3 linked regions of the Cricetulus griseus genome follow. The protein of the gene in region 1 interacts with the protein of each later gene in a biochemical or structural test. Links are inferred from orthologs where the notes say so. Each region holds a gene or a part of one and is shown in the gene's direction. Other genes may lie near its edges. The genes, in order: Kpna2, Kpnb1 and Cse1l.

Region 1 (7,094 bases):
TCTTGACAGTGGCTCCCCACAGTCTACCACATCATCCTGGGCCGGGCCTAGGCCCTCCCCCACGTGTCCAGGCCGAGAGAGCATCCCTTCATGTGGGATGGGCTCTCAAATTCCCTTCTTACACCAGGGAAAATACTAATCCCCTACCAGGGCCCCCTGGAGTGCAGAGGCCTCCTTATGAGCCACAGTATTCTTAACACTGGGTCACCTCTCTGCTCCTCTTCAGGGTCTCACTGTATAGCTTGGACAGGATGTGATCTCACTATGTGGATCTGGCTGGCCTTGATCTCACGAACATCCACTTGTCTCTGCTTCTATACTGCTGGGATTAATTGTCCCACCACACTTGGCCTTCAAGGAAACTCTTGACGTTATAGTTGTGTTTCAGTTTCTTTTCAGGCACTAGTACAGCAAGCTTGACTCCTGCCTGTCATTTGTTGTCTCTGTAAACCTGGGACAAATCACTCGACTATTTATGATATCCTATCTGTAACGATTACTACACGAATAGCACGGAAACACTTGGGAACACAGTACTCACTGTTTTCTTGGGAAAGAAAGCTCAGTTTCACAATGCAGGTAACAGGCATTGGATCACTAACTGCAAACTTCTGAGGGGCACCATCAGCTTTGAGAAGTAGTGCAGGATGTGGATCAGAACTCTCAACATTTCTCTCCAAGTTCCTTATTCAGAGTTTAAGACTCAGAAGTTGTTCCTACCTCCAACTACTAAACAAAGGACATAGGCGCCCCAAAAGGGTGCATTTAGGTCGTGTGCCTGCCCCTGAACCATTCACAGCAGCCAAGAAAATGCCTGGCGGTGATTGGTTGAGAATGGATTCCTTCCACATTCTTGCATTTAGCAGGTCAGATTGGGAGCAACAAACTGCCTGTGAACTTCTCGGCTATGCTAGAGAGAAACTGGCATGGATGCCTTCGAGAATAGACAGAGTGTACTGCTTGCATTTATTTGTACAAAATAAGCCACTACAATTTTCCTAAAATACTCCTTTAAAGCACCCAGAAAAATTTCAAGAAGAACACAAAAAATGGCTCACAATCCTGATGCTTTTAAATATCTTTCATGTTTGAAAATAATTAGACCACAAAAAATGAATACAGATTGATGATAGCATGGAAATTGAATTTTTCCTGAAATTGAGGGTTTCCAGTGTGGTTATATAAAACAATCTCTCTTTTAAGAAAAAAAAATTGTTTTTATTTACTTTTATTTATTGGTGTTTTGCTTGCATGTATGTCTGTGTGAGGGTGTTGGATCCCCTGGAATTGGAGAACTGGAATTATAGACAGTTGTGAGCTGCCATCTGGGTGCTGGAAATTGATCCTGGGTCCTCTGAAAGAGCAGGCAATGCTCTTATCTCTGAGCCATCTCTTTTCTGCCCCCATCCGAATCCCTGAAAAGTATTTCTCTTTGTAGTCCTGGCTATCCTGGAACTCACTATGTAGATCAAGCTGGTCTCGAACTCACAGAGATCCACCTGCCTCTGCCTTCTGAGTGCTGGGATTAAAGGCGGTGTACACTTGTATTATTGAAGTTTTGCCTGGTGGTGGTTTCACACACCTTTGGGGGAATCTTTGTGAGTTGGAGGCCAGTGTGGTCTACAAAGTGAGTTCCAGGGCAGCCAGGGTTACACAGAGAAACCTCGTCTAAAATAAATAAATAGAGAAACCCTGTCTCAACCCCCCCCCAAAATAATATAAAATAAATAAATAAAATTCCAAAACAACAAACCAAACAGAATTAATGAAGTTTTAAAGAAAGTGTAAGGTGAAAATAGGCACTTAATAAGCCATTTGTTACCATATTTGCTGCTTTGTCTTTTTATTTCCCAAGTAATCTGAACATTTGACATACAACTAGATAAAGTGGAACATCTCTGTAATCCCAGAATTGGTGCTGAGGTAAGATTGCAACAGGTTCAAGGCTAGCCCCGGCTCTATTGTTGAGACCCTGTCTCACTCCTAGTCCCCGTAATAAAAATTAAATAATCGCTGGGCATTGGTGGCACACGCCTTTAATCCCAGCACTCGGGAGGAAGAGACAGGTGGATCTCTGTGAGTTTGAGGTCAGACTGCTCTACAGGCAGATCTCTGTGAGTTCAAAGCCAGCCTGGTCTACAAGAGCAAGTTACAGGACAGACTCCAAAGCCACAGAGAAACCGTGTCTCGAAAAACCAAAATAAATAAACAAATAAATAAATAATCAATAAACAGTAAAAACAACAACATAATAATAGGGGGCTAGAGAGATTGCTCAGAGGTTAAGAGCACCAACTACTCTTCCAGAGGTCCTGAGTTCAATTCCCAGCAACCATATGGTGGCTCACAACCATCCATTATGAGATCTGGTGCCCTCTTCTTGTGTGCAGGATCATATGCAGACATAAAGCTGTATACATAATAATAAATCTTAAAAAAACAACATAATAATTAATACACTACACACAATGATTATTAAAAGAGCCACACAGATCTGCTTCACTCCTTTCTCCCAGTGACCAGCCCCTGCTAAACCTCTGGTGTTTCGATGAGGAAAAAAAATGAAAATCAATGTATTTATGTTAAGCATTTGTTATTATTTTGGTGGGTCCTTTTTCAGACGGGGTCTCACCATGTAACCCTGGCTGGCCTCACTATGTAGACAAGCTCGCCTTGAACTCACAGCAATCCTCCTGCCTCTGCCTACGCCAATTACGCCAGGCTAAACTTTTATTTTTTAAGATAACGCGTCTAATAATAATTCCGTGTATTTGCTTAAGGGCAGGCCCCAGAGAGAGCAAACAGGGCTCTGCCCAGCGTCCCGCCTAGGCAGAGACGACACACACCCTTCAGCGTCGCGCGCCGAGCTCCGGGATCACCACTCTTGCAAGGCACTCTGGGATTGTCCGGCCGCTCCCTCATCTCGCGATGCTACCCTCCCCTCCACCCCACCCCCACCTCCTCCCTCCCCCAGGCCCGGCGTCCGTGCCCCCCCCAACGTGTTTTTCAAATCCGCCAATGAACGCACAGCTTAGGCTCAAACCAGCCAATCGGGATGCGGCGTCACCGGGAAATTTAAATCGCGCCGGCCGGCAGCACGAGGCACAAAGTCTGAGGGCTGAGGCGCAGTGGACGTTTCGAGGGCCGCCGACCCCGCAGGCTGAGAGCCCCGCACCGCCTTTCGTGGACGCCTGAGCCGGCTGAGCAGGTGGGAGCCGCGGCCGGGCCTGGACGGTAACGGCCGGCCGGAACGCGGAGCGGGCGGGAAGGCGGGAGCAGGCCGCGCCGGGCGTGTGCTGGGCCTCCGTGCCCAGACGAGGCCGCGGGGCGGGGTGGTTCCGCCGTGCCGGTGCCGGTGCCAGGCCTGGCCGCACCGGTCGCTGCGGAGGGCGGCGCAGGCCCCGCGAGGGGCGGCGTCGGGGACACCGGCCGCAGACGAGCGCACCCGGCTGCCTCTCCGCCGCTTTCCCGCCGCTTCTGCCCGGGGAGGGTCGGGGCTGTGGGCTGGAGCGGAGGCGGAGGCGGAGTGGTGGCAGTTAGGACTCCCCCGTGAGACGCTTGAGCCGGGCCGCCGGCGCCAGCCTCGGGGAGGAAGTTCCCGAGGTTTTCGCCTCGGTAGCAGATTGTCACATTGTGGCGATCACGCCTGCGATAGAAAGTCGAGCCCCAGACAGTGTCCACGGCTGGTGTCACTCGAATTGAATGCACAGACCGGAAAGCCTGTCCTGTCCAGGGCGTGCGGGACGCTGAAGACGCGGTGCCAATGTCACTGCTGACAGCGAGGGTTGTGGAAGGCTCTGTAACGCAACCAGCCAAGTCGCTGTGTAACCTGATGGAAGGTGCCTGATGTATGTGTATGCATTCGGGCCATGAATCAACAGAAAAAGACCAGAAGTGCCTTTATTGCCTTAAGGAGGTAGATTGTTAACTAAAAACCAGGCGGGGTGCCCCTAGTCGGTGTCCAGAATGTGGAGCCCCGGCTTAATACCGCGCTGGCCAGAGGCTTTAGGTCATTGAGTTTGTGAAAAGCCGATAATCTGAGTTGAGATGCTCTGCGTGCATAAACTACACATAGGATTCTGAAGGTGTATTAAAACGGTGAAACATGTTTATTTTTCTATGTTAATTTCATTTGTTGCTTTTTAGCCTTTTAAAAATGTGGTTAGTGGAAAATTTAAATGTTTGATTAAAAACCTGTTTCTGATTGACAGCTGCGTTGCCAGAAGTTTAATCCCTTTGCAGGAGGAGCACTTAACCACTGGACTTAATGCTGTAGCCATAAAACTGAAAGCTTGTGGGTTTTTCTTGTCTAGCATACAGATGGAGTCAATATATAGTTGATTTTTATTTTATTTATTTATTTGGTTTTTCGAGACAGGGTTTCTCTGTAGCTTTGCAGCCTATCTTGGCACTTGCTCTGGAGACCAGGCTGGCCTGGAACTCACAGAGATCGGCCTGTCTCTGCCGAGTGCTGGGATTAAAGGCGAGTGCTGGGATTAAAGGCGTGCGCCACCCACGCTCGGCTTTGATTTTTATATTCTAGTTGGCCTTAAACTCAAGAGACCCGCCTTCCTCTGCCTCCCTGGTGCTATGATTAAAGGCGAATGTTAGTATGCCCCGCCTGGCTTCTGCTGTATTCTTATTTAAAAAGTGCTCTTTTTTTTCTCACCCTCCCTTGTCTACTAGCTTTCTCCCGGATTCCTGTAACCATGTCCACCAACGAGAATGCTAATTCACCAGCTGCCCGGCTTAACAGATTCAAGAACAAGGGGAAAGACAGTACAGTGAGTACCTTCTGTCGACACTTTTAAATGGAAATAAGAAGGGGTGTTTATATAACACATTTTAGGGATTGAATCCAGTGCCTTACTGATGTTAGATGGGTTCTTTATTCCTGAGTTTTATCTCTAGTCTTATTTATTGTGTGTCTGTGCATACCTGGTGCAAATGCAGAGGTGAGAATGACAGCTTGCAGGCAATGGTTCCCTCCTCCGCCTGACTCTGCAGGATTGAAGTCCTGAGACTTGGTGGCAGGTGCCTTTTAGACAATGAGCCATCTCTTGCTGACCTTTGAGGGGTTTAAAGAAATGACTTGTCAGGAAAAGCTTATAGATAAAATGAGGTGTTGTGTTGTCTTTTCCTCAGGAAATGCGGCGCCGCCGAATAGAAGTTAATGTGGAACTGAGGAAAGCGAAGAAAGATGACCAGATGCTGAAAAGGAGAAATGTCAGCTCATTTCCCGACGATGCTACTTCTCCTTTGCAGGAAAACCGAAACAATCAGGTACATACCTAGACAGTGCTCTCCCTCCCTGTATAACTGCTGTGGCTGTCCTGGAACTCTGCAGAGATCTGCCTGCCTTTGCTTCCTGATTGCTGGGATTAGAGGCTTGTGCTCCCCCCAAAAAAGAATAAATGTCTCTTAGAAATTAGAATTTTTTTTTTGAGGGGGATTGGTTTCTAGACAAAATTTCTTTGTGTGGCCTTGGCTTTGTCAACCAGGCTGGCCTTGGACTCAGATCCACCAGCCTTTTTGCCTTAGGAGTACTGGGATAAAAGGCATGAGCCACCACTGCTGGCTAAATGTAAAAATTCTTGGACATGCCTGGTAATCTACTTTTGACTGTTGAATGTATGACAATTCTTTGTTTTTTTTAAGATTTTTAGTTTTTTAAGAAGTGTATTTGTGTTTGTGTCTGAGTATGTGCAGGAGGCCAGAGAGGTTATGTCCCCTAAACTGGAGTTACAGGCAGGTATAAGCCACCTAATAATGTGGGTGCTGTGGATTGCATTTGGTCCCCTGCAGGATCAATGCATAGCCCCTGGGGAAAAAGATCCGCCCCCATGTTCCCCACAGGGTTTCTGTGTAGCCTTGGCTGTGGCTGTCCTAGAACTCACTCTGTAGACCAGGCTGCCTCTGCCTCCAGAGTGCTAGGGTTAAAGGCGTGCACTACCCTAGTGATGACCTGCCAGGAGTAAGGCAATGTTGGGCACTTACTAGCTTTTTGGTTTTTCAGGATAGGGTCTTTGTGTGGCTTTGGATCCTCTCCTGGCACTCACTCTGTAGAGCAGGTTGGCCTCGAACTCACAGAGATCTGCCTGCCTCTGCTTCCCAAGTGCTGGGACTAAAGGAGCGTGCCACCACTGCCCAGCCAGTATTTTTTCCTTTCTTTTTAACATTTGATCTCTTTTACTATTCTATGTCTTAGATGTTTCTGCTTATTTTAATTTTAATCTCAAAGTAAAAAGGTAATTGTTTTTTAATTAATATATTGTTGGGTCTGAGACATCCTTTTCTTCCAAACTTGTTTTCTGAGACAGGATCTCATTATGTAGCTCTGGCTGTCCTAGAACTCATGTAGGCCAGACTGGCCTCAAATTCACAGAGATCTGCCTGCCTTTACCTCCTGATTGCTGGGGTTAAAAAGCATGGGCCTCTATGCATGGCTGCAAACTTATTTGTTATTTTGTGAATGTTTATACATGTATAAAATGAATAGTAGTCCTTTTCACGCTGTTTCCTGGTCTCATCCCATCTTATGAAACCCCTTTTCTCAACAAGTCTTCCTTGTTTTTCCTGTCTGTTTTATATACTGGAGGAACTTTGTCAGTGGCTATACCCCTGAAGGAAGTTCACCCCTTTCCCCAGCTGTCATTAACTGTCAGTAGTCCCCCAAGAAGGGGTGGGACTTTGAGTCCTTCCCCTTCCACGATGAAGAAATAAAATGGCCTAATCTTCTAAAGTTATTTCAAATTGTAATGAGTGTTAGTGTTTTAGTTAGGTTTCTCTGTTGCTGTGATAAAACACTGCCAAAAACAACTTGGGTGGGGGAAGGGTATACTTGGCTTACAGGTTATAGTCCATTAACCAAAGAAGTAAATGCGAATGCAAGAGCATTGCTTATTGGCTTAGTCTCAGGCTTGCTCTGTGTTTTGTTTTATTTTGTTTTGAGACAGTCTTACTGTATTCCTGGCTGGCCTGGAACTCACTGTGTAGACCAGGGTAGCCTGCCAGTGCTTGGCTCAAAGGCATGTGCCACCACCACACCTGAATCTTAGGTACCTGGCATACCTGCCCAGTATGGCACCACCCAT
Region 2 (6,931 bases), about 9.6 Mb from region 1:
CCTGCCAGCCTTCACACTCTGCAGAGCAGTGTATCTAGCAGGTGGCTGCTGCTGTCATCTTCCACTAAAACCAGATTCTTTGGCCTTCCAACATGGATTGGAGATGAGCGGCTATCCAGGAATCCTCTAGGCCGCCAGTACCAGGTTAGACTGTTATTGTATCCACTCAGCCCTGTGCACTGAAAAGCTAATGGGGAAACTAATGAACTAAGCAAACCCTCTCCCGTCATACTCGCAAAGCAGCCCTTCTAGTTGACAGAGCAAAAGGTTTGGGCTAGGGAACTGGTAAGCCAGAGGAAATGAACTAGTTAAAAGATGGTATTAAGGGCCTGGCGGTGGTTGTGCACACCTTTAGGCCTTTAATGCCAGTAGTCGGGGGCAGAGGCAGGTGGATATCAGTGACCAGGCCAGCCTGGTCTAAAATGCAAGTTTCAGGACAGCCAGGCCTATTACACAGAGAAACTCTGTCTTGAAAAAAAAAAAAAAGCATGAGGAATGATGGACCTACACTTCTTGCAAAACTAAGTTTCTTGAGTTTCTATATTGTATAATGACTCACTTTTGCCTTAAGAATCAGTTATGGAGGCACAGGATCAGCGTGTGTGTGTTTCCATGTGTAGGTGTGTCCATACGCTTGCACAGTGAAGAGCATCCCAGCATTCAGGGATCTGAGGAAGGCAGATTATGGAAAACCTGAAGCCAGCTTGTGAATCTTAGACCAGATACAGAAAGGAACCCCATCTCAAGGAAAGACAAAAGCCCACACAACAACAACAAAAGACTCCAAAAAACCAAACCAAATAAATCCACTACCAACAAATAATTTTTTTTGATAATGTTTTCAATGAAAACATTACAATAAACTAATTTCCTGGCTTGGTGATATATGCCTTTAATCCTAGCAGTTTCTTTTATCACTTATTTATTTGGTTTTTCAAGACAAGAATTTGTCTATCTGTAGTCCTAGCTGTCCTGGAAATCACTCTGTAAACCAGGCTAGCCTCAAAATCAGACATGCTTGCGCAACTCTGCCACCCAAATTCTGGGATTAAAGGCGTGGGCCACCATCGCCTGGCTAATTCTAGCATTTAGAAGGCAAAAGCAGGTAGGTCTGAGCTCAAGACCAGCCTGGTCCAACCTAGTGATTTCCAGGCCAAGACATCTTTAGGAAACAAGAAACTAAAACCCACACTTGCATGCTGACCACAAATAAATAAATAAAACCTTAAAATCAAAGTTAAGGTGAATGTAATCAGAACATATTATTAAACATATATAAAGCTGTCAAAAAACAAATTGAAAAATACAACAAAGAAATTACAGGTTGGCTGGCCAAGTCGGTCTATCCTTCCAGAAAATATTCGTGGGTTTCCCAATGTGGCTAGCGCACAGCAATTTCTTCCTGGGCCTATCTGCGGCTCCTGAACCCCTGGCTTGCGGCTCAGGCTCCCCAAGTGGGGAGGGGAAGGGAGGGGGAGTGTAAAACAACTAGGTGCACCAGAGTTTTGTTTGAAACAGGATCTCAGGCGGTAGCCCAGGCTGCCTTGGCCTTCGGGATACTGAGACTGTAGGTGCTGCCACGCCTAGTCAGTGCACATGCTCTATGTCACATCCTTTCGGTGTAAGCTCCATCACCGGTTGTTTGAGGTAGCTGTTAAGTCTAAGGACGCACCTCCGCGAAACTTTGTAACCGCAGAGGTCCAGACAGGGACTCCAAGGGCAATTAAGCACGCCTGAACCCAGCCCCGATGGAGTCTTTAATCGGCTGTGTGACCTTGGACACGCTCCACGCTCTCTCTGGGCTTCAGTTTCCGAATCCGCACGTTGGAAGGTGAACCACGTGGCCCTCACGGTGCTGCTCAGCGCAGAGCCCGGCAGAGAGCAGACCTCGCCATTTACGGCGGCTTCCTGTGGGCGCGGCACAGGGCTTTAACGGTCCCCCTCCCCGCACCCTCGCAACCCTCACTTTTATGGCCCCGCCGCCGGGGACCGCACTACGAGGAGACCACTTGGAGCGGCTCGCGCGCGCCTCCGCCCCGCCCCGGAGGCGTCCCGTCGTGCCCCGCGCTAGACTCTCAGCAGCACGGGGCGACTCCCGCCTTTACGCCCGGCGACCCCGAACTCCTCGCCCCAGGTCTCCCGGCGCCCCGTCCTATCAACGTCCAGTATCCCAGCCAATCGGGCGCGCTGCGAGTCTTACCTTCCGCCCGCCTCCTCCCCGCGCACAGCCGGTGTGAGCCCGAAGGCCTCTACCGGGACCGCCCAATCAGAAGCCCGCACTTACCTGCCCCACCCCGACGTCCCTCCCCTCGCCCAATGAGCGCGCCCCATTCGGCTGCCCGCCCAGCCAACCGGGCCTTGAAGCCCGCGAGCGAATAGGCGCGCGGCGGCCCTTCAACGCTAACCTTCTAGCCAATCGGGGAGTCCGCGTAGCCGCGGCAGCAGCCAATCGTTGTGCAGCGCGGTGCCGCCGCGGAGAGGTCCGGCAAGAATATCCCTCCGCCTCCCTCCCTCAATCTCTCTCCCTCCCAGAGATCCGCCTCTCACTTACTGCCGCCCTTCCTTCTTTCTCCCTCCGCCGCCTGAGCACCAGCCGCGCTCTGAGCTGCCCCCGGGGTCCCTCCCCCGCCGCCAGAGGAGCAGCTGCCGCCGCCTAACACATTAGGAGGGCGGAAGGAAGGAGAGTGGGGAGGAAGGGGAGACAGAGCGCCTGCCCAGAGGCAGCCGGTGAATGGGCTTGTGGTGACCCCCGCCCCCCACCCCACCCTCCCTTCCCACCCGACCCCCAACCCCCATCCCCAGTTGGAGCCGCCGCCCGAGAGGCCGGGCCGTCGTCTTTGGAAGAGTCCCCGCCGCCGTCACCTCCGCCATGGAGCTGATCACCATCCTCGAGAAGACCGTGTCTCCGGGTAGGACTCGGGGCCGGGGGTCGGGCTGAGGTGACTGGGGTGGGGGAGGGGGTGGCCCCTCTGACCCCGCTGCCTCTCCCCATTCCTCCCCAGATCGGCTGGAGCTGGAAGCGGCGCAGAAGTTCCTGGAGCGTGCGGCTGTAGAGAACCTGGTGCGTGCTGCCCCGCCGCGCCCCATCCCGCCGCGTCCCCATCCCTGCGTGCGGGCCTTCCGCCCTCCTGGAGGCCCAGGCCTCAGGAACCCACCCCGCCCCATCTCGTCCCCCTTCCCCCCCCTCCGCCCGCCCGCCCGGTCCAACCTAACCCCGCCATCGGGAAGCCGGTGGGTGTGTCCCGCCCCGGGCCCTGCGTCTGGCCAATGGCGAGGCGAGCCGGGGTGATCGCTGTCCAATCGCCTCGCGGCCTGAGGGCGGCGGTGCAGCGGGAGGGAGAAAGAGGGAGGGAAGGGAAGTTAGGTTGCATGGCGCTGCGTGTTCAGCAAGGGTGGGGGTTGGGGAGCCGGGCCTAGGGGCCATGTGGAAGCTCAGCGCCCTGCTGCCTGCCTTCTACTGGCGGGTGCCGGCTTTTCCTTCCAACCCCATGCCTCTTGTGGCTGTCTGCACCTACTTTCCAGAGCCCTACCCTTTCGCAGCTCCCATGGTCTGCTCAGGGCCACGCCTGGCAGCCGACCACCTCTGAACCCATTGCCACTATTTTTTTCCCTTTCGGGCCCTGTTATCCCTCTCCTGAGCTAAGCGTGCGTGTATGTTATGTTTGGGCTTGGATCATTAGGGACCTCATCCTTAGGGATCTGTATCCTGCCCAGAGTCTGAGCCTCATTCCTGAGATTGGGCTTTATTCCCTGAAGAAATCACAGTTACCCCGTTTTTCATATTTTCTCATTTAAGAGGTACATTTAAAAAGAAAAAAAAAGCAACCTGACCTGTGTGTAGGAAAATGAGAGATGATTGAAGTAGTCTCGTGCCAGAATGTTTCTCTTTGGTAGCCCTCTCTCCTCTCAGGGGTTGGTAACAGGGAAGGGTGGATGGTACTGAAAGTCTCTAAAAGGTAGTAAGTTGAAAGAACACTGTAACCAAATGTAGTCCTTTGTGATGGCTTGGTAAAATAGTAACATCCATAGGGACAGAACACATTTGTGCAAACCGCCTTTTCAGTACTTAGGTAAGGGACTTTTTATTAACCTTTCATCTTTTAGTGCACCCCCTTTTAAGCATTTCCTTGTTAGTGTAGAATGAGAATTCCACTCATGGTATATTTTGTTTATTTGCAAAAAAAAATCCTTTACCTTGCTCCTATCACTGTTTAGTGCCATATAGTAAACCTTTGGGAATTACCTCCTGTATTTTTAAGAGTTAGCTAATAGTAAGGAAATATGTCTACTTTTGCCACTTTAACTTTCTGTTTGGGCAGGTTCATACACACGAGCGCGCGAGCACACACACACACACACACACACACACACACACACACACACACACACACACACACACACACACACACACACACACACACACACACACACACACACACTCACACACACACACACACACACACACACACACAGAGGTGATTTTTGGACTTGTATTTTAAAGAGTGGATATTTTCAAAACTTGAGAGGGCTATTGGTACAGAAAATGATTTTTCTTGAGACAACTTATCTTGCCATGTCATTTGGTTTTTCAAGACAGTGTTTTTCTGTAGTTTTGGAGCCTGTCTTGGAATTCACTCTGTAGATCAGGCTGGCTTTGAACTCACAGAGATCCACCGTCTCTGCCCTCCAAGTGCTGGGATTAAAGGTGTTCGCCACTGCTGCCTGGCTTTGTCTTGTCATTTTTATCTTCATTTTTTCCCATTTCTGAATATTAGTTATCACTTACCACTTAAATCCCTGTTGTTGGACACTCAGAACTAGGCTGCAAGGACTAGGTACTTTCATCTGTTGTAGACTTAACATATATTTCTGTTACAAACGTTCACTTGTGTAAGATCAGAAAGCTGCACTGAGTGTTACTATTTTGGACTAGATTTTAATTTTAAATTATACACCAATTTTCTCCCTCATCCTGTATCAGCAAATTTGCAGTAGTATATATAGGTGCATTGGGAACCTTGAACCTAGGATAACCCAGTGTTAGGTTGTCACTTTTCTTTAATTCTGGGGAGCTGTCTGAACATTTGTGCACAAGGGATGATCTTGGTAGGAAGACACCATCTCTTTGTATAGTAAGTAATGTTTTTATAGAACTTACTTTGAAGTTGGATCCTGTTAAATTGCCTCATTTGTTTGGCTTTAAGATTGCTGAACCCAAGGAAACCTCTTGAGTGTTGAGTCTAGGCAGGTACCACTTCAAATAGATATTTCACAGGCTCCTGAGAGATTTGAATGTGATCTAAATTTCTTTTGTGTGTGTCTCAGTATTTGAATGTTCTACAAGGAAGTTGGAATTTCTGAGATGCTCACAAATTCATCTTTTCTCAATAGCCCACGTTCCTTGTGGAACTGTCCAGAGTGCTGGCAAATCCAGGAAACAGTCAGGTTGCCAGAGTTGCAGCTGGTCTACAAATCAAGAACTCTTTGACATCAAAAGATCCAGATATCAAGGCACAGTACCAGCAGAGGTGGCTTGCTATTGATGCTAATGCTCGACGGGAAGTCAAGAACTATGTAAGTGACTGTCATATGGCCTAAGGAACAGTGTTGTAAGGGCTTGGTCATTTGCATGGCATAGAACTTGACAATGAAGGGGCTGGAGAGGCTCAGAGTTTTAAGAGCATTGGCTGCTCTTCCAGAAGTTCTGAGTTCAATTCCCAGCAAGCACATGGTGGTTCACAACCATCTATAATAAGTTCTGGTGCCCTCTTCTGGCATGTAGGCATGCCAGAACAACAGTATACATAATAAATAAGCTCTTAAAAGCAAAAAAAGAACTTGATAGTGTTTCTGAGACCTAAACTTTACCTGAAGGTAGAAATTCTGTTTCATTAAAAATCTCTCAATGTGGCAAAAGGTGTTTGGCGATTGGTTGGGTTCTGCTGACTGAACCAGCAGTTTGGGATCTCTGGTTAGAATTGGGGAAATGCAAGTTTTGGTGCTATATATATCATCACCACCTAAGAAATTTCACCTTTTTTTTTTTTTTTTTTTTTTTTTTTTGGTTTTTCGAGACAGGGTTTCTCTGTAGCTTTGGAGGCTATCCTTGGCACTCACTCTGGAGACCAGGCTGGCCTTGAACTTACAGAGATCCTCCTGCCTCTGCCTCCCGAGTGCTGGGATTAAAGGCATGCGCCAACAACGCCCGACCGAAATTTCACTAATGTTATGTGTGTCTCTGTGTCAGAGTTTAGCTCAGTGATAGAGGCTTCTAGAATCTATAAAGCCTCAGGTTCTCTCATTTGTTCACATAAGAGAATGAAGTATTTTATGTATTTGGGATCTCTAGAGTAAAGCTGGGAATTCTTTCCATTCAGTCTTATGTAGTCCAGGCTAGCATCAAATATCTGACTGTCCTGTTTTTACTTCTGAAAAGCTGGTATTATGTTTTACCACACTGCACTCTGATTTTGTGTGTGTGTGTGTGGGGGGGGTGTTAGGTAGTCCAGCTGGCCATGAATTTACAATATAGTAAAAGAGAACTATGAACTCTTTACTTTCTTTTACCTTACCTTACTTTTACCCTGAATGCTGGGTGCAGGTGTATGTCACCATGTCTGGATTTTCAGAGATATTTTAGAATATTTTCTTTCTTTTTCTAATGTTTGGGTGCCTTTGGAAGCCAGAGGAGGATGTCTGGTCCCCTGGAACTAGTTAATGTGCCATTGTTAGCCATCAGGCAAGGGTGCTGGGAACAGACCTGAAGTGCTATTAACTGCTGAACTGTCTCCCCAGCACAGTCAGCAGCTCCTGTTGAGCTTTAGTGGTGGCTAGTTCCTGACATGAAATTGTAAAGTCAGGGAAAATTCAGTGATTTTTAAGTCTTTCAAATGTAAAGAGTTTGCAAATGGGAGTATGACATTTATTTATT
Region 3 (6,948 bases), on another chromosome or scaffold:
CTTACTGCCTTCCCACCCCCATGCCTGCTCTTTTGTGAGCAACATGCTCTAGAATCTAGAGCAGCAAGCAGTTCTGAACCTGGGGTCCAATGACCCTTTCACAGGGGTCGCCTAAGACCATCAGAAAACACAGATTTTACATTATGATTCATAACAGTAGCAAAATTACAGTTATGAAGTAACAACAAAAATAACTTTATGGTTGGGGGTCACCACATAGTGGTACCAAGAAAGGCTGAGAACCACTGGTCTAGACTTTAGAGTCTAGATCAAATTTTGCCTTGTTGACATTTCAATTGGAGTGGCCGTCTCCTACTTTAAGACCTTGAACTTAGATTTCTAACAACACCCTTGCTTAGGCTAGGAAATGCTCTGTCACTGAGTTATATCTCCAGGCCTTGTGAATGGCCCTCAAAGATGAAAGACAGGCAACTCATTAGCTTTCTACTTCCCAAGGCTAGAAGAAAATGGTTGTTTCAGAGAAGCAGAATAGTATGATTAAGATAATTGCTCATGAGGGCTGGAGAGATGGCTCAGAGGTTAAGAGCACTCACTGGCTGTTCTTCCAGAGGTCTCAAAAGAGTAATTCTCAGCAAACACATGGCGGCTCACAACCATCTGTAATGAAAACTGGCACCCTCTTCTGGCTTGCTCGAATGTATGCAGACAGAACTCTCTATACAAAATAAATAAATAAATACATCTTTAAAAGAAGATACTCCCTTATGGGCTGGTGTTATATCTCAATGGTAGAGTGCTTGCCTTGTATAAATGAGGTGTCAAGTTCAATCTCATGCCCCAACAGTAAACGCATTGTATTTACACATGACATTTCACCTACTCCTATGTGAATACCCAACACATGAGGGCTGGAGAGGTGACTCAGCGGTTAAAAATGCCCGCTGCTCTTCCAGAGGATCCAGGTTCAGTTCCCAGCTTCCACATGGTAGCTTACAACCATCCTTAATCTCAGTTCCAGGGGAACAAAGCCCTCTTCTGGCCTCCTTGGGAGCTGCATACATGTGGTGCACAGAAAATTAAAAACAAACCTTAAAAAAAAATACCCAACACATCTTGATTGAGCATCTAGGGTGTGCTAAGTACTGGGGTCACAGCTATAAAGAACAGTAAGCCCTAAGCTCTTTCATTAAGAGTCCTTGGGCTGATGGGTGATAATTGCAGAGACTTATAAATGCCAGACAGAAAGCATAATGAACGCTGGTTCTGGGGGTAACGGCACTGCTGCCAAGACTGAGGGCCTGAGTTCAATCCTTGGAACCCACAAGCTGGGGAGAAGTGACTCTCTGGGGAGAAGTTGTACTCTGACCTTTACACATGCACCATGGCACCCTTTTACCCCTCCCCCTACATAAATAAATGTTTAAAAATATTTTAACTCAGAATGATATAATGAAATCAAGCCTGCTAGATAAGATACAGAATGCCCAGCTGGCACACACCTTCAATCCCAGCACTCCGGCAGGCAGGCAGGCAGAGCTCTGTGAGTTTGAGGCCAGCCTGGTCTCCAGAGTGAGTGCTAGGACAGCCAGTGCTACACAGAGAAACCCTGACTCAAAAAAACAAAACCAAAAAAGATACAGAATTCCCAGTTCAATGGGAACCTTACATAAACAATGCATGCTTTTGCAGGGCAAGTGTTCTCCTGTAAATCTATTATAAAAATAAGTGTTTGCTCCCTGAAATTTGTGTCAAGTTGGGCAGCCTGTCTTTTACTGGCTAAATGGTGTGCTGTTGAGTTAAAGTTAAGGTGGAGTGGGCAATTTCAGACATCCCTGAGGAGCTGCCATTGTTCTGCGACCAAATGCAAAGGGAGCCAACCATTATTGGATCTAGAAGAGCATCCAGGCAGAGGTAGGAGCAAGTATCAGTGCTGTGAGGTAGGGTAAGCTTGGAGCTGGGAGGAACAGAGCAAGCAAGCTGAGCTGGCTTCCAAGCCCTCACCGTTCTCCCCAATGCTTGCCAGGCCAACAGGCACACAGCTGCCTCCTGGCTTTTGAAAAGGTAAATTTTCTCTTATTCAGGGGCCTCCCCTGTTCATCCCAGTTATCTTCAAGTTGCCACTGGCTACATCAACTGAAAAAAAAATTTTTTTTTGAGAAAGGATTTCACTCCCTATCTCTGACTGGCCTCAAATTCACTATGTAGACCATGTAGGGCTCAAATACATGGTGATTCTCCTGCCTCCGCCTCCTACACGCCAAGTGATGGGGTAATAAGCGTGTGCTATGTGCTGTGGAATCAATACATGGTGATTCTCCTGCCTCCGCCTCCTACACGCCAAGTGATGGGGGTAATAAGCGTGTGCTATGTGCTGTGGAATCTAGCTTCAGAAATCCTTCTAGGCTTCTAAAGTCTGTGTGTGTGTGTGTGCCTCAGTGTGTGTGTGTGTCTTCCTCAGTGTGTGTGTGTGATTCTCAGTGTGTGTGTGATTCTCAGTGTGTGTGTGTGTGTGATTCTCAGTGTGTGTGATTCTCAGTGTGTGTGTGTGATTCTCAGTGTGTGTGTGATTCAGTGTGTGTGTGTGATTCTCAGTGTGTGTGTGTGTGTGTGTGATTCTCAGTGTGTGTGTGATTCTTAGTGTGTGTGTGTGATTCTCAGTGTGTGTGTGTGTGTGTGTGTGTGTGTGTGTGTGTGTGTGTGTGTGTGTGATTCTCAGTGTGTGTGTGTGTGATTCTCAGTGTGTGTGTGTGTGTGTGTGTGTGTGTGTGCGCGCGCGCGCGTATGCGTCTTCTTCAGTTCCTCCCCACCTAAGTTTTTGAGGCAGGATCTCCCATGGAAACAGGAGTTCACCGATTAGCTACACTGGCCAACCAGCCCCAGGGATCTTCCTGTACCTGCTTTCCCAGATACGGGATTACAGTCAGCAGCCCAGGCGGACTTTTATTTGACTGCAGGGGATTCGAACTCATATCTTGTTAGTTTCATGGCCACCTTTAGCCAACCGAGCTATCCATCCCTCAGCTTGGGAGTCTTACTCATTCGGTTATTCTGCCTGTCCTAGAATGGACGGCCTCTCCCTTCTCTGACGGGAACGAGCACAGTCCATAGCACAGCCACTTGCAGAACAAGCCATGGTCTGAGCAAAGAAATCCAAACCAGCAGCCTGCGTCAAAGGACGTGGTCTCTCGCGACGCCACCGCAGAACCGAGCGGGGTTCCGATTGGCCCTTGCAGCCGGGGTGGGGCCAAAAGCAGCCCTGGCTCCGCCCCTTGTCGCGGCCTCTCTCGCACATGCGCCGTGGCCGCCACCCTCGCCGCCGCGCCATTTTGCCGGGGTTTGAATGTGAGGCGGAGCAGCGGCGGGAGTGGTAGCGTCGGCTGCAGCTCTCTCTCGCCTGGGATTCCCTCCTCGGTCTCGGTGTCCCCGCGAGGTGAGGCATGGGGTGAGCAGGGCGGCCGCGGGGAGGGGACGAGCGCTGGGAAGTGGGTGCGGGCCTGTGCGTGCGGCCGCGCTCCGGCGCCTCCCCGCACGCCGCCGCAGGGCCGGGCCTGACCGCTCCGGGAAGCCAGGGCAGCTTGAGGCTCGGCCTCACGCTGGCTCCCGCAGCTCCCGCCCCTTCCCCTCCGGCGCCGCGCTGATTGGTCGCGCCGCCGCCCTTCGCTCCGTAGGTGTCCGCTGATTGGCCGCGCCGGCGCGTCCGTTCTCGGCGCGCCGGCGGGGCCCGCAGCGTGAGCGGTGTTGGGCGCCGAGGCCTGAGTTGGCCGAGCCGGTCCGCACCCTGCTTCCGAAGGAGGCCGGAGCGTGCACCGCTTTGGCTTCGCGGGTCCTCGGGCTCCTCCGCAGGGGACCTGGGCCTCGGGGTCTCACCTGGCTGAGTCGTTCGCGCTCCTGGGAACTGAGGAACGTACAGTCGAACGGGGTTACCCTTCCTGGGGCGCGCTGGCTTTCTAGTTGGATAATCTGGCCTCTTGCATACACAGTCTCTCCCTAGGAGTGTAATTCAGAGCCGGTCGTCGTCTCTGTGAAAAAATGTAATGTTCTGATAAGGTGATGCTGGTGGTGGGTCCGTGTTCTCGCCCATGTTGAGCAATCTCTCCCTCGGAAATGGCATTTTTATCCTCACCTCAAACTCAGATTCATTCATCACTTGCACACTTGGTTAAGCGGCTTTGGGGTTCCACTGATTGTTGACTGTACTTCCCAGAGGTCTCACCTGAGCTGCCGTGCGCCTCACTCCATCTCTCCAGAAGCACTGTAGCCATGCTGACCCGCTCCTTTTTAAGAATTCCCCGCCTCTCTGCCTTTGAAGTTCCCCTCTTAGGCATCAGTTCTCACTTCTCAGTTCACATCACCCAGCTTTATTTTCCTCCACAGCATTGACCTTATAGGTAGTTCTTACTGCTTGTTTCTCGTCCTTTTCATCTGCTCTGATGTTAGCTCTTCGATGATAACCTTTCTTGTTGGTTGCACGTTTGCAAGCCACGTGATGGATGCTCCTGTTATTTCATGAAGACATGGAAGGCCTTTTTTTTTTTTTTAAGTTTTGGATGAAGGATCTGACCTCAGATTCATCATTCTACAAGTGTAGGCTACCACACCCAACTCCCTTTCACCCTGTTCCCATTTGCACATAGCAATTTTAACCCCCTCTGGTTTCTTTGATTTCTTTGATTTGGGAAGCCATTCTCTACCAGGGATTGGGTGAGTGAGAGCAGTACTCTAATTGTGGAATTGATTTATTGCTTTATTTGTTGTTTCTCTTTGGGGACCTTATATTCTAGTTTCGGGGAGAACATGAATTAGATTATTTCAGGTAGTGACAAGTGACAGAAAGCTGACAGGTGAAGACATTTTCTCTGAATAGGTGGCATTAGAGCAGAGACTATCCAGGGGAAAGTGAGGGAACAGCATTTCAGGCAGAGGGAGTAGGATGCACAATTTCAAGTCTAGAAACTGACTTGGAATATTGGGATATTTTAGGAAATCCAGTTCAGTTGTGTGAAGAATAGAGAGATGGGACTTTGTAGGTAGTGCACGGAGTTTGGATATGATACAGAGTGGTAGATTACTGTGATTGATTAGAAGCAGAGAAAGGCAGTAGGCACTCAAGTTACTGCCCAGCCTTCTGTTCTCTTGAAGTGTAGTTAATAACTGTTCTTTTAAAAAAGCTAAGGATAGGGTAGGCAAGATGGATTGAGGGCAGGTAATCCTTACCTAGCCTAACAACCTGGATTTGTTCCCTGGTATCCACATGGTAGAAGGAGAGAACTGACTCCTGCACATTGTCTTCTGACTTCCACACACATGCTGTAGCACACGTGCACACAGTAAATGCATATGGTAAAAATTATGGTGACAGGAGAGGTGGCTCAGGAATCAGAAGCATGTATTGCCCTTGCAGAGGACCCAAGGTAAGTTTCTAGTACCCATGGGTGGCTCACTGTTGCCTATATTTCTAGCTCCAGGGGATCTGATGGCCTCTGCCTTCCTTGGGCATCTGCTGTCAAGTGTACATACATAAAGGCAGAAACATACAGAGATACACACATACACATACATTTGTTAAAAATTTTAAGGTGAGGATAGGTGTTAAGTTATGCTCTTACTATGTATTATAGGTTTTCATTTACTAGATTTCTTCCCCTCTCCTCAGATGTAAGGAAGGCCTCAGAAATGGGTATCTCAGTGCAGTAGACATATCTAAGAAAAAGGCAAATATCTTGGGTCATTTTTATCTTGGGTGTTTGTGAGATGACGATAGGAAACAGTGTTTATTCCCAAAACCTTCATTTGTAACTGTAGGAAGAGGCTAGACTTTCAGTTACTCATTCAAGATTTTTTTCAAAAGATGTAATCATTTTTTTGTGTGTGTTTAAGTGTTTGCCTTTGTGTACTATGTGTGTGGCTGATACTGAGGAAACCAGAAGAGGGTGTCATTCCCTGGAATTGGAGTTTCAAATGGTTGTGAGTTGCAGTGTGGGCATTGGGAATTAGTCAAGGTCCTCTTATAGCCGTTTGTTCTTTGACTAAGCAAGAGTCATCTAGGAAGCAGGAACCTTAGTTGATGGATTGTCTCCATCAGGTTACCTGTAGGCAAGACTCTGGGATTATTATTATTATTAATTTTTTGATTACTGATTATTATAGGAAGGCCTAGCCCACTATTGGTGGTACCACTCCTGAGCATGTGGTTCTGGGTGGTATAAGAAAGCAAGCTGAAATCCCAGCACTGGGAGAGGCAGAGACAGGCAGATCTCTTGGAGTTTGAGACTAGCCTGGTCTACAGAGCAAATTCCAGGACAGGCTCCAGAGATTCATCTTCCTCTGCTTCCTAAATTCTGGGATTAAAGGCATGTGCCACCACTGCTCAGTTTGAGCATGGTATTTATAGCTATAGAAAGCATACAGCAAGCAGCAAGTTCTCTTAATTGCTGAACCATCTCCCCAACCCCAAGTTTTTTGGGGGGCTGGTGAATGCGTCAGTAGAGCAAACACAAGTACTAGAACTCAAATCTCAGCACTCATTTATAGTCATGTGGAACATGAATGCCTGTAAGCCCAGCATTGTGGGTGGGAGACAAGCTATCCCAAAATTGTATCAAACTTGTGGGTCATAACCTGTGCCCCAAGTTAGGTCTGGCCACCCATTCTGAAGCTCAGTATTGACTCCCCTTGGGGTAAGTCCTTTTATAGCTAAGGGAAAAGGACTGCAGTAAGAATACAGATAGCATAGCTTTTCTTTTTTTTTTTTGAGGGTCTTGGTTTCTGGCTGTTGGCACATTAGAGAGTAGTCCTTGTCTTTACTTTTTCTCAGTGTGTATCAAGATGAAAGCTTAGCAGACTATGGTAGTACTGTGATTGTGATTATGCCTGTAATCCCAGTTCTTGACAGAGTTGTTCAAGGCCAGTTTGTGAGACCTTGTCTCTCTCTCTCATTCTTTAAAAGGGTGGTATTGGTGTCTGGTCGTCCTCCTTGACTGCAGCTCC

What was found.
Region 2: the proteins of Kpna2 (region 1) and Kpnb1 form a complex in vitro, tested with the Homo sapiens proteins (6 studies listed by BioGRID and IntAct, with this or other methods). The link is inferred for Cricetulus griseus from reciprocal best matches to the Homo sapiens genes KPNA2 and KPNB1.
Region 3: the proteins of Kpna2 (region 1) and Cse1l form a complex in vitro, tested with the Homo sapiens proteins (2 studies listed by BioGRID). The link is inferred for Cricetulus griseus from reciprocal best matches to the Homo sapiens genes KPNA2 and CSE1L.

Annotation. Positions count from the first base shown.
Region 1 is NC_048600.1:119,947,107-119,954,200, reverse strand, and holds the start of Kpna2 (importin subunit alpha-1), read left to right. Parts: upstream 1-3,068; 5' UTR 3,069-3,208; intron 3,209-4,686; 5' UTR 4,687-4,709; coding exon 4,710-4,784; intron 4,785-5,145; coding exon 5,146-5,283; intron 5,284-7,094.
Region 2 is NC_048600.1:110,334,413-110,341,343, reverse strand, and holds the start of Kpnb1 (importin subunit beta-1), read left to right. Parts: upstream 1-2,583; 5' UTR 2,584-2,869; coding exon 2,870-2,909; intron 2,910-3,002; coding exon 3,003-3,061; intron 3,062-5,391; coding exon 5,392-5,574; intron 5,575-6,931.
Region 3 is NC_048599.1:12,530,759-12,537,706, reverse strand, and holds the start of Cse1l (exportin-2), read left to right. Parts: upstream 1-3,255; 5' UTR 3,256-3,391; intron 3,392-6,948. UniProt on the Homo sapiens protein: Export receptor for importin-alpha. Mediates importin-alpha re-export from the nucleus to the cytoplasm after import substrates (cargos) have been released into the nucleoplasm.